Notamacropus eugenii: one gene and its partner. The protein of the gene in region 2 interacts with the protein of the main gene of each other region in a biochemical or structural test. Links are inferred from orthologs where the notes say so. Each region holds a gene or a part of one and is shown on either strand. Other genes may lie near its edges. The genes, in order: ELN and LOX.

Region 1 (3,910 bases), on a different chromosome or scaffold from region 2:
CATTTGCCCAAGGTCACACGGCTGGCGAGTATCCAAGGTGAGATCTGAACCCAGGTGCTCTGACTCTACAGCCAGTGCTTTTTCCACTGGGGGTTTTTTCTTCCTTTTTCTCCCCAGTCTACAAGTGATGTGGCTAAAGGATTCTGGCACCTGCTTTCTGGAGACTCTGCAAGGTCTTTAGCCCCAGGGGGAGGGAGGAGAGACCCCTAGGGATAGTCTGTGAGTTCAATCACTAATGCTGCACAGAGGCACTAAGCAGGGAGGGAATCCTACCTCTGAGACTTAGCATCTTGTAACCTTGGGCAAGTCAGTTCCCCTCTGTGTGCCTCAGTTTCCAAATCGGTAAAAATGAGGGGGTTGACCCAGATGGCTTTTAAGGTCCCTTCTAGCCTAAGATCCTGGATTCCCCTCTCCCTTAAGGCTGCTTGTGTCTGGACTTAGGACCAGATCCCTTTAAGCATGGCCACTGGGGCTGGCTCTAAGGACATCACTTTTCTGTAGACACCAGGATATCCTTCTTTCCCCCAACCCCATATCGTTCCCCTCTCCCTCAGTCACCCCATCATAGGATTCAGCAATGGAAAGGAGAATGGAGCTCATCTCATCCGATTCCTTCATTTTAAAGATGAGGAAATAGGCCCTGGGAAAGGAGCTATTTTCCTTCTCAAAGACAGACAGGTAATAAGTTTGCAGGGACAGGATTCAAACCCATGTTCTCTGAGTCCAAAGATATTGTCCCTTCCGTTCTCTCATGGTACTAGGTAGCAAAGAAAATGGGACCCTGAGGCTCCCTTTCCCCAAGGTCCCCCTCAGAGTATCTCTGCTTTTCCTAGGTCCCACCCCAAATCCCCCTCCCCAGCCAGGACAAGGAGACAAGAGGATTAAAGCGAGGGATAGGGTGGGCTGGAGTGGGGAGGGGGCTGAAAGGGGGCTAGGAATGGGGGGTGGGAGCTCCTCCCAGGCCTGAGGTGGCTGAAGTGGGGGTGTGGGGGGGGCCTTCAGGGCAGCTGGCCCTTGTCCCCGGGCTCTAGGCTTGGGGCCCAGTTGGGGCGGGGCGGGGCAGGGTGGGGCGGGCGCTGGGGCCTGGCCATCACGGGGCTTGGCTAGAGCCAGGGATTTTTGGCAAGGACTAGAGCCCTCCCCTTTCCTCTTGCTGAAGGCTGTTTTGGCAGCATCCCCCCCCTCCCCCCCCTGCTGCTTTCTGGCAGGGCCCTGGACAGGGCTGGAGAGAACAGCAAAAGAGAAAGGGGGGAAGCAAAGAAAGGAAAAAAACCCCAAATAGTCCAGTCTGGGGAGGTTTGTGTGTGTTGCCCTTTCGTAATTACGTCGTGTCCTGAGCTTCCCCCCCACCCCCCTCACCCCCCATCACACAGCCCCCCTCCCTTGTTCCTCCCCCTCCCTCTTTCCCTCACATCCCTTGTAGACAGCAATTAAGCATTGAGGATAAAACACACAGCCCGAGAGAGGGCTGAGGCTTTTCTCCCAGAGATGGCGAGTCGGACAGCTCTCTCCCTCCGGCCAGGAGTCTTCCTCCTCCTTCTCTCCATCCTTCACCCCACGAGGCAAGGAGGTAAGGGTACCCCCGATGGGATCAGCTCCCCAGTCCTGTCCTGATCTACACCATTACCATCCACGTTCTCCCTGTCCCATCCCCATCCCTACCCACCATCCCCATTCCACTCCCACTCTATCCCTCCCCTCTCTTCACAGTCCTGGGTCACCTATCAGAGAATCATCCATCTCTATTTCCCTATTTCTAGGGACTGGAGGGACAGGTGAGGTGTGTGTGTGTGTGTGTGAGAGAGAGAGAGAGAGAGAGAGAGAGAGAGAGAGAGAGAGAGAGAGAGAGAGAGAGAGAGAGAGAGAGAGAGAGAAAGGAGGAAAGGATGTAATGGGGCATCTCATGTATCACTGAGTTCTGTGCTCTGAACTCCGGGGATCCTCTCAAGGTATAGCCATCCTATGGATGTGCTTTCCTTGACCTGACTCTGGTGGGGAGTTCTCAGACAGAAAGACCCCACTGAGCAGAGGATGGGGTGCCACTAAAGTGAGGGAAGAGCTGCACAGTTATGCAGAAGCCTTCCACCTTGGGTTCCTAGAAAGGGCAGAGATACTAGAAGCACACCTCAGGGCAGGTGTCCAGCATCCTCTGTGTGAAGGCTGCCTCCTTCTCCTCCTCGGGATTATGAATCCCAGCCTGGAAGGGAAGGTCCTGGAAAGTTGCAGATTGGGGCTTGGGAGCACAGTGGACTTAGTCTGGGGAACCCCAAAGGCTTTGTCTCAGAATGGTGGGAAGCTAGAGCTGTGATCTTTCCTCCCAGGTTCTGTTTGGGGCTGGTGAAGAGTTTGCTCCAAGTTTAGTGGGCAATGTCTGCATGTCTGAGCAAAGGGTCCTAGATCTGGGTGTGTCCCCTCAGCAGGCAGTTTGGACACCTGCAAAGGGAGCACATGTGTGTACATGCCTGCTTGTGGCTAACAGGCAATTCTGCTAGGTGGGTGGGGTTAGGGGACCTGGACTGTAGTCCCACCCTAACATGCTACGTGACCTTAGGCAAATCCTTTCAGTTACCTGGATCATGGCTTTCCCCTCTGAAGGGGGAGGGGGGGTGCAATGAGAGGCACAGATGGTAAAGTGCCTCCCAAAGGTAGACTGGGAGGGACAGAAGCACTAAGCATATGTGACCATAGGGGAAGGTCTTCCTGGTCAGGCTTATGAGCTACGTGTGGCCAAATGGATGCCACTGGGCAGATAGATTGATTTAGGTGTTTCTGGCAAGGTACACGTGTGTGACACCAGGATGGGAGTGGGAAATGGCTGAATGTGTGACCCAGTACATGTCACTGAGCAAGTGTATATATATGTGCAACTGTGAAGACAGAACCAAACATACGCCACTGGGTAGATGCGTATCAATGAGCAGTTGTGGTATTTATGCGCATGTGTGCATGTCTATGTTCTTGCACAGATATCCATGTGTATGTGCATGTTATGGGAGCAGACATATGTGTGTGTTCCCGGGCAGATGTGCGTCTGTGTCTGAGTACATTCAGAAGATGAAAAATGTCATTATCTATCATATCAGCCTGATTGGGTGTGGAGGCTTGTCTGGCAGGGGAGAGGTGGAATCGTTGACCCTGATGGACAAGGAGCAGGGAAGGCATACAGAGTATCATGATGCTGTCTCCTCAGTCCTATGCAAGAAAGCAGAGGATACATCTGGTGTCCAGAAAATGTGAGCTAGAAATGGCAGGAATGCCATCGGATGCCCACAGAGGGGATCTGGTGACCAGCCCCTTGGTGGGGGGCAGAGGAGAGAGCCTTCCTGTTCAGGGAAGAAAGCACTGGAGTGGGATGAGAGAGGCCAGCAGGGAGATGAGACATCAAAATAGTCAGTCTCAGGTAGGCACACCAGACAGGGAGGAGTGGGGACCTGAGGGGAGATTACAGAGGGTCATGTGGACTTGGGGAAACTGAGAGAGAACAGGCCAGCTGAATCCAGCACCAGCCACATCAGCAGAGAGATCCATGTTTGCAGGAAAGCACTTGGGAGGCAGGAAGCAGAGGTGCCCAGCTGGAGCCCAGATGGGTTCCAGGAAGAATAGGAAGGCTGGGCATCCTCTTGGCTCGCTGTTGGCTCCTTTTCTGGGTTTCTCTGCTTTCTGCCTCTGGCCCTGCCCTGATCACCAAGAATGTTGGGTGAGATCGCTGTGGTACAGGAGGACATACCCACACCAGGAATGAAAGAATGATTAAAAGTTATAGGCTAGGAACAGGAGGGAGGGGAAAGGTGGACTGAGTTGGGTGGGGGATTTAAGGAGAGTGAGGAGGGAAGGAATGGGGGTGGAGGGGGCTAGGAGCAGCAGCTGTTTCCTGTAGATTGGAGCTGACCTGGCAGGGCTGCTAGTGCAG
Region 2 (3,910 bases):
CTTCTTTGAAGTGAGAAACCATATCTCTGTTTTGTCAGTAAATTAATAGATAAAACAAATTTTCCTCTTCTTTCTTTCAAAAATCTTTGTTATAAGCCATGACTTCACTAGGGAGAAGATAGAATTGGGATATATTCAGCAATGAATATGTGATATACAAACAAAAAGTCACCATTAAAATGAGTTATTTTTGAAATCTTATTTTAATCAATACTTTACAAGTATTCACCTTTTAGTGTCAATTTTCTTTTGAAGTTTCCAGCACTGCTAAAATATAAAAGTCATATGTGAGCAGGCACACTCCATTTGCCAACAAATTCCAGTCGGAATTATTGACCCTTCTTCCCATTCATCTTCCCACTAAAGACACTCCCTAGTTCTCAGGAAAATCTTGTGCGGTTTGGAGACTTTTCAGACAGAAATCCTGATGTCTCCTATTATTTATCATTGATACACTAATGGCATCGAACATTTAATAAATGGTCATAGAAATAAAAACAAATCCCTCCTCCTCTATGTAGAGGGAGGTGGGAGGGAAAGGAAATTTCAGTTCAGTTGTTAATTTACAGCCGAATTCTGAACAATTCCTATTTAACAACCTCTTCTAAGAAGCACTGTCAAGATGAAAGATGATTTTCCGCATTTCGATAAAAGTAGACCTTTGGGTTTAGTTTTTGAAACAGGGAGATGGGTTTATTTATTCTGGTTATGGATTTCAGAGTCAACTGCCCTTCTCCCATGTGAAAATTCACTTAGAAATTTCACTGCTGGATATGAATTTGTAACCAATTTCTCATGTTACCTACACACAGAAAAACAAAATTCGATAGCTCAGAGTTTACAGGATGAGAGGATTTCCCATAACTGAGAGCATATTGGGAAATATGCTTTGTTCCCCCTCCTGAGCAGGGAATTCTTAGCCAGAATATTTTCCCCAAAACATGTTCCCTCCACTCCCGTCGAGTCTAAGTCTTCCTACCTCCCCCTTTCCAGTCTTTCCTGTGTTTGATGACCTAATAGCATTTTTCCCTCTGCATACTTTGGCACACTCTCATGGTCTGGCTGCTTGAGTGTGTCTGAGTCCACTGAAATTCCTGCATGTTCGCCCAAGATTAAGATGTGGGTCGCGTGTGTCTCTAGCTGGATATGTATTCTTTTTTGTTCTTTCCCGTTAAAGAAACCTCTCTATGTGCAACGTGTCTTGGGGGGAGGTGGTTAGGAGGGAGGGGGCAGATGTGAGGAACTGTCAGACTTGCACGTTTCCAATCGCATTACGTGAACAAATAGCATAGGAGCAGCCCTGCCAAAAAACGCTTGTGTAACTTTGCAAATGTGCCAGAAAGTTTAAAATCTCGCATCCCTCCTCCTCCTTCCTTCACTCCAGACACCAGCAAAAGCAGGACGACGACGATGAGAGGCTGCCCGCTCGCTAGAACTCCTGCCCTTCTCCCCATCCTTCTTCTATAAACACTGGGAAAGGGGGGGCTCGGGGAAGACGCCACATCCGCGCTGTCTGTTTTGTTTTTTACAGTCTACACTCTATCTTGGGCGCTCCTTAGGTAGCTATTGAAATACGTCGATAGACGGTTTTTCCTTCCCTCACAAGTGACTTTTTTTCTCCTCCCTATTTTTATTTCCTGAAGCAACGCTTTTCGTGTCTGCGGAGATTAAAGGAGAGAGCAAGAGATGCATTTGCCTTCACCCGCCGTTGTCCTTGTTCGGTTCCATCTGTGTGTTCACTTGGGCTGCATTTTGCAAGTAGCCTGCCAGCAGCCCCGACGAGACCCTCCTCCCCCGGCTGGATGGAGGCAAAGGATTCAGTGGGAGAACAACGGGCAGGTGTTCAGCCTCCTGAGCCTGGGCTCTGAGTACCAGCCTCCGCGCCGGAGGGACCCGGCGGCTGGCTCCGCCGCTGGTGCCTCAGTTTCCTCGCTTCGCCAGTCGCCAGTACTGCTGCTCAGAGACAACAGCACTTCTCCGCGCTCTCGCCCGCTGCCGTCTGTGGGCGCTCTGGTCCACGACCGCACGAACCCCAGGAGGCAACCGGCTGCACGGCACTGGTTCCAGGCTGGTTATCAGCCCGGGTCTGCGCAACGGCACCAGGGCGGACCGTCGGCGTCCACCTCCCCGGCGGCCACTGCCCCCACCAGCAGGAGCCCCGGGGGCCGAGCGCCTGGTTCCAGCCCGGCTGCCCAGGACCGCGACCAGAGCCCAGCCGGTAGCCGCCCCACCCTAAGCAACCTCAGAGCTCCCAGCCGAGTGGATGGCATGGTGGGCGATGACCCCTACAACCCCTACAAGTACTCAGACGACAATCCCTATTACAACTACTATGACACTTACGAGAGGCCACGTCCGGGAAGCAGGTACAGACCTGGCTACGGCACTGGGTATTTCCAGTATGGTAAGTGACAATCACAAATAAGCTGACGTGCAAAAAAGTTCGAGATATCTCTCCCCTCCCCGCCCCCCGCCCTCACAAAAACAGTCCATACAGCAAAGACCCGACTCAGCCAGAACGCCGCACCCGTCCATAGAAGTCTCTCTGACCCTCACAAAAGACTGTCACATAACCACTTGCAAAAATTCCGTTACTTGTCTTTTCTTCCGCCCCCATCCCTCCTTCTACCTAGTCTCAATACAAGCAGGGGTGTTAGTGGAAAGGTCCCAGTTTGGGGAGGTAGGCTTTGGAGAAAAGAATGGGTAGGAAGGCTAGACAGGAAGCCGGGGTTAGTAACTGGGTTTTCAAGGTGGTGGATTTCTGATTATTTTTGGCCGACTTGTAGGTCTCCCCGACCTGGTGCCAGATCCCTACTACATTCAGGCGTCCACGTACGTGCAGAGGATGTCCATGTACAACTTGAGATGTGCTGCGGAGGAAAACTGTCTTGCCAGGTAGGGGCCGGGGTAGTCTCCTGACCCAAATACAGGCTCTCTTCTTCTCTGCGCTGCTTCTGTCCTCCCGGAGTCTTGTCGGTGGCAGCTGGGGGTCCTGGAAAGGTGGGAGATGGGAAGTGAAGAAGACAGGACAAGCTGGGGATGATGAGATGAAAGAGAATGCTTTTTTGTGGGCCCTAGCTCGTGATCCTTCCAACTGTTATGCAGAAGAAGAGTGTGGCTTGGATTAAGACTGTTTACGTCCTCCCGAATCTTTGGAGTCCCAGGCTTATGGTCAAGTTTCAAAAGCGATGGGGTCTTGTTGACATGATTAAAGAAAAAGAAATTGTACTTGACCTGATAAAAGAGCCCACACACTTACCATGGGAAGCAGCCATTCCTAGTGAAATTGAATAAACCATCTGTAATTTGACCCTCCAAACTACCCCCCCCCCAAAAAAAGTAATTATAGAGTATGTTAATGACCTCTTAGAAGACTTAAACGTATGTTTGCGACTGTGGTCTCATTTACTTGGCAATGGTTGTTTTTTTCCTCTTTTGGTCGTAGCTGTAATGAACATGTTCTGGTTTTACTTCAGCCAAGCTTGAAACTTTGCTTTTTCAACAGCTTTAAAATAAGGACCCTTAACTTGGAGAATAGGGTTTGATGTTGAACAGCCAATAGGGGGAGCCCAAGATGCTCTGGAAGGTGCCACCAAAAAAAAAAAAAAAAAGTTAACATTGAGAAGAAATTCCTTGGCACTTCAGAGAATGGTAACATACTCCAACACTAACCCAAAAATGTATTTGGAGTTGTAACTCTATAAAGTAGGGCAAGGCTTAAGAAGCTTAAAAATGTGCTTTTTTTAAACAGCATAGTGCAACCATTCTGTTTGTATTTCAGAAAAAAAGATAGAAATTAAGTTATAGAATACATTTGTACATAAAAACCAAATCTTTAGTCATGTTTTATATACCTCATAATTCTTATTTTTACTGGACCTGAATTTTATTACACAAATAGAAGGAGTTC

The links.
Region 1: the proteins of LOX (region 2) and ELN form a complex in vitro, tested with the Homo sapiens proteins (2 studies listed by BioGRID and IntAct). The link is inferred for Notamacropus eugenii from reciprocal best matches to the Homo sapiens genes LOX and ELN.

What each region holds. Positions count from the first base shown.
Region 1 is NC_092873.1:49,376,757-49,380,666, reverse strand, and holds the start of ELN (elastin), read left to right. Parts: upstream 1-1,369; 5' UTR 1,370-1,488; coding exon 1,489-1,570; intron 1,571-3,910. UniProt on the Homo sapiens protein: Major structural protein of tissues such as aorta and nuchal ligament, which must expand rapidly and recover completely.
Region 2 is NC_092874.1:344,826,916-344,830,825, reverse strand, and holds the start of LOX (protein-lysine 6-oxidase), read left to right. Parts: upstream 1-1,371; 5' UTR 1,372-1,686; coding exon 1,687-2,404; intron 2,405-2,786; coding exon 2,787-2,895; intron 2,896-3,910. UniProt on the Homo sapiens protein: Responsible for the post-translational oxidative deamination of peptidyl lysine residues in precursors to fibrous collagen and elastin. Regulator of Ras expression. May play a role in tumor suppression. Plays a role in the aortic wall architecture.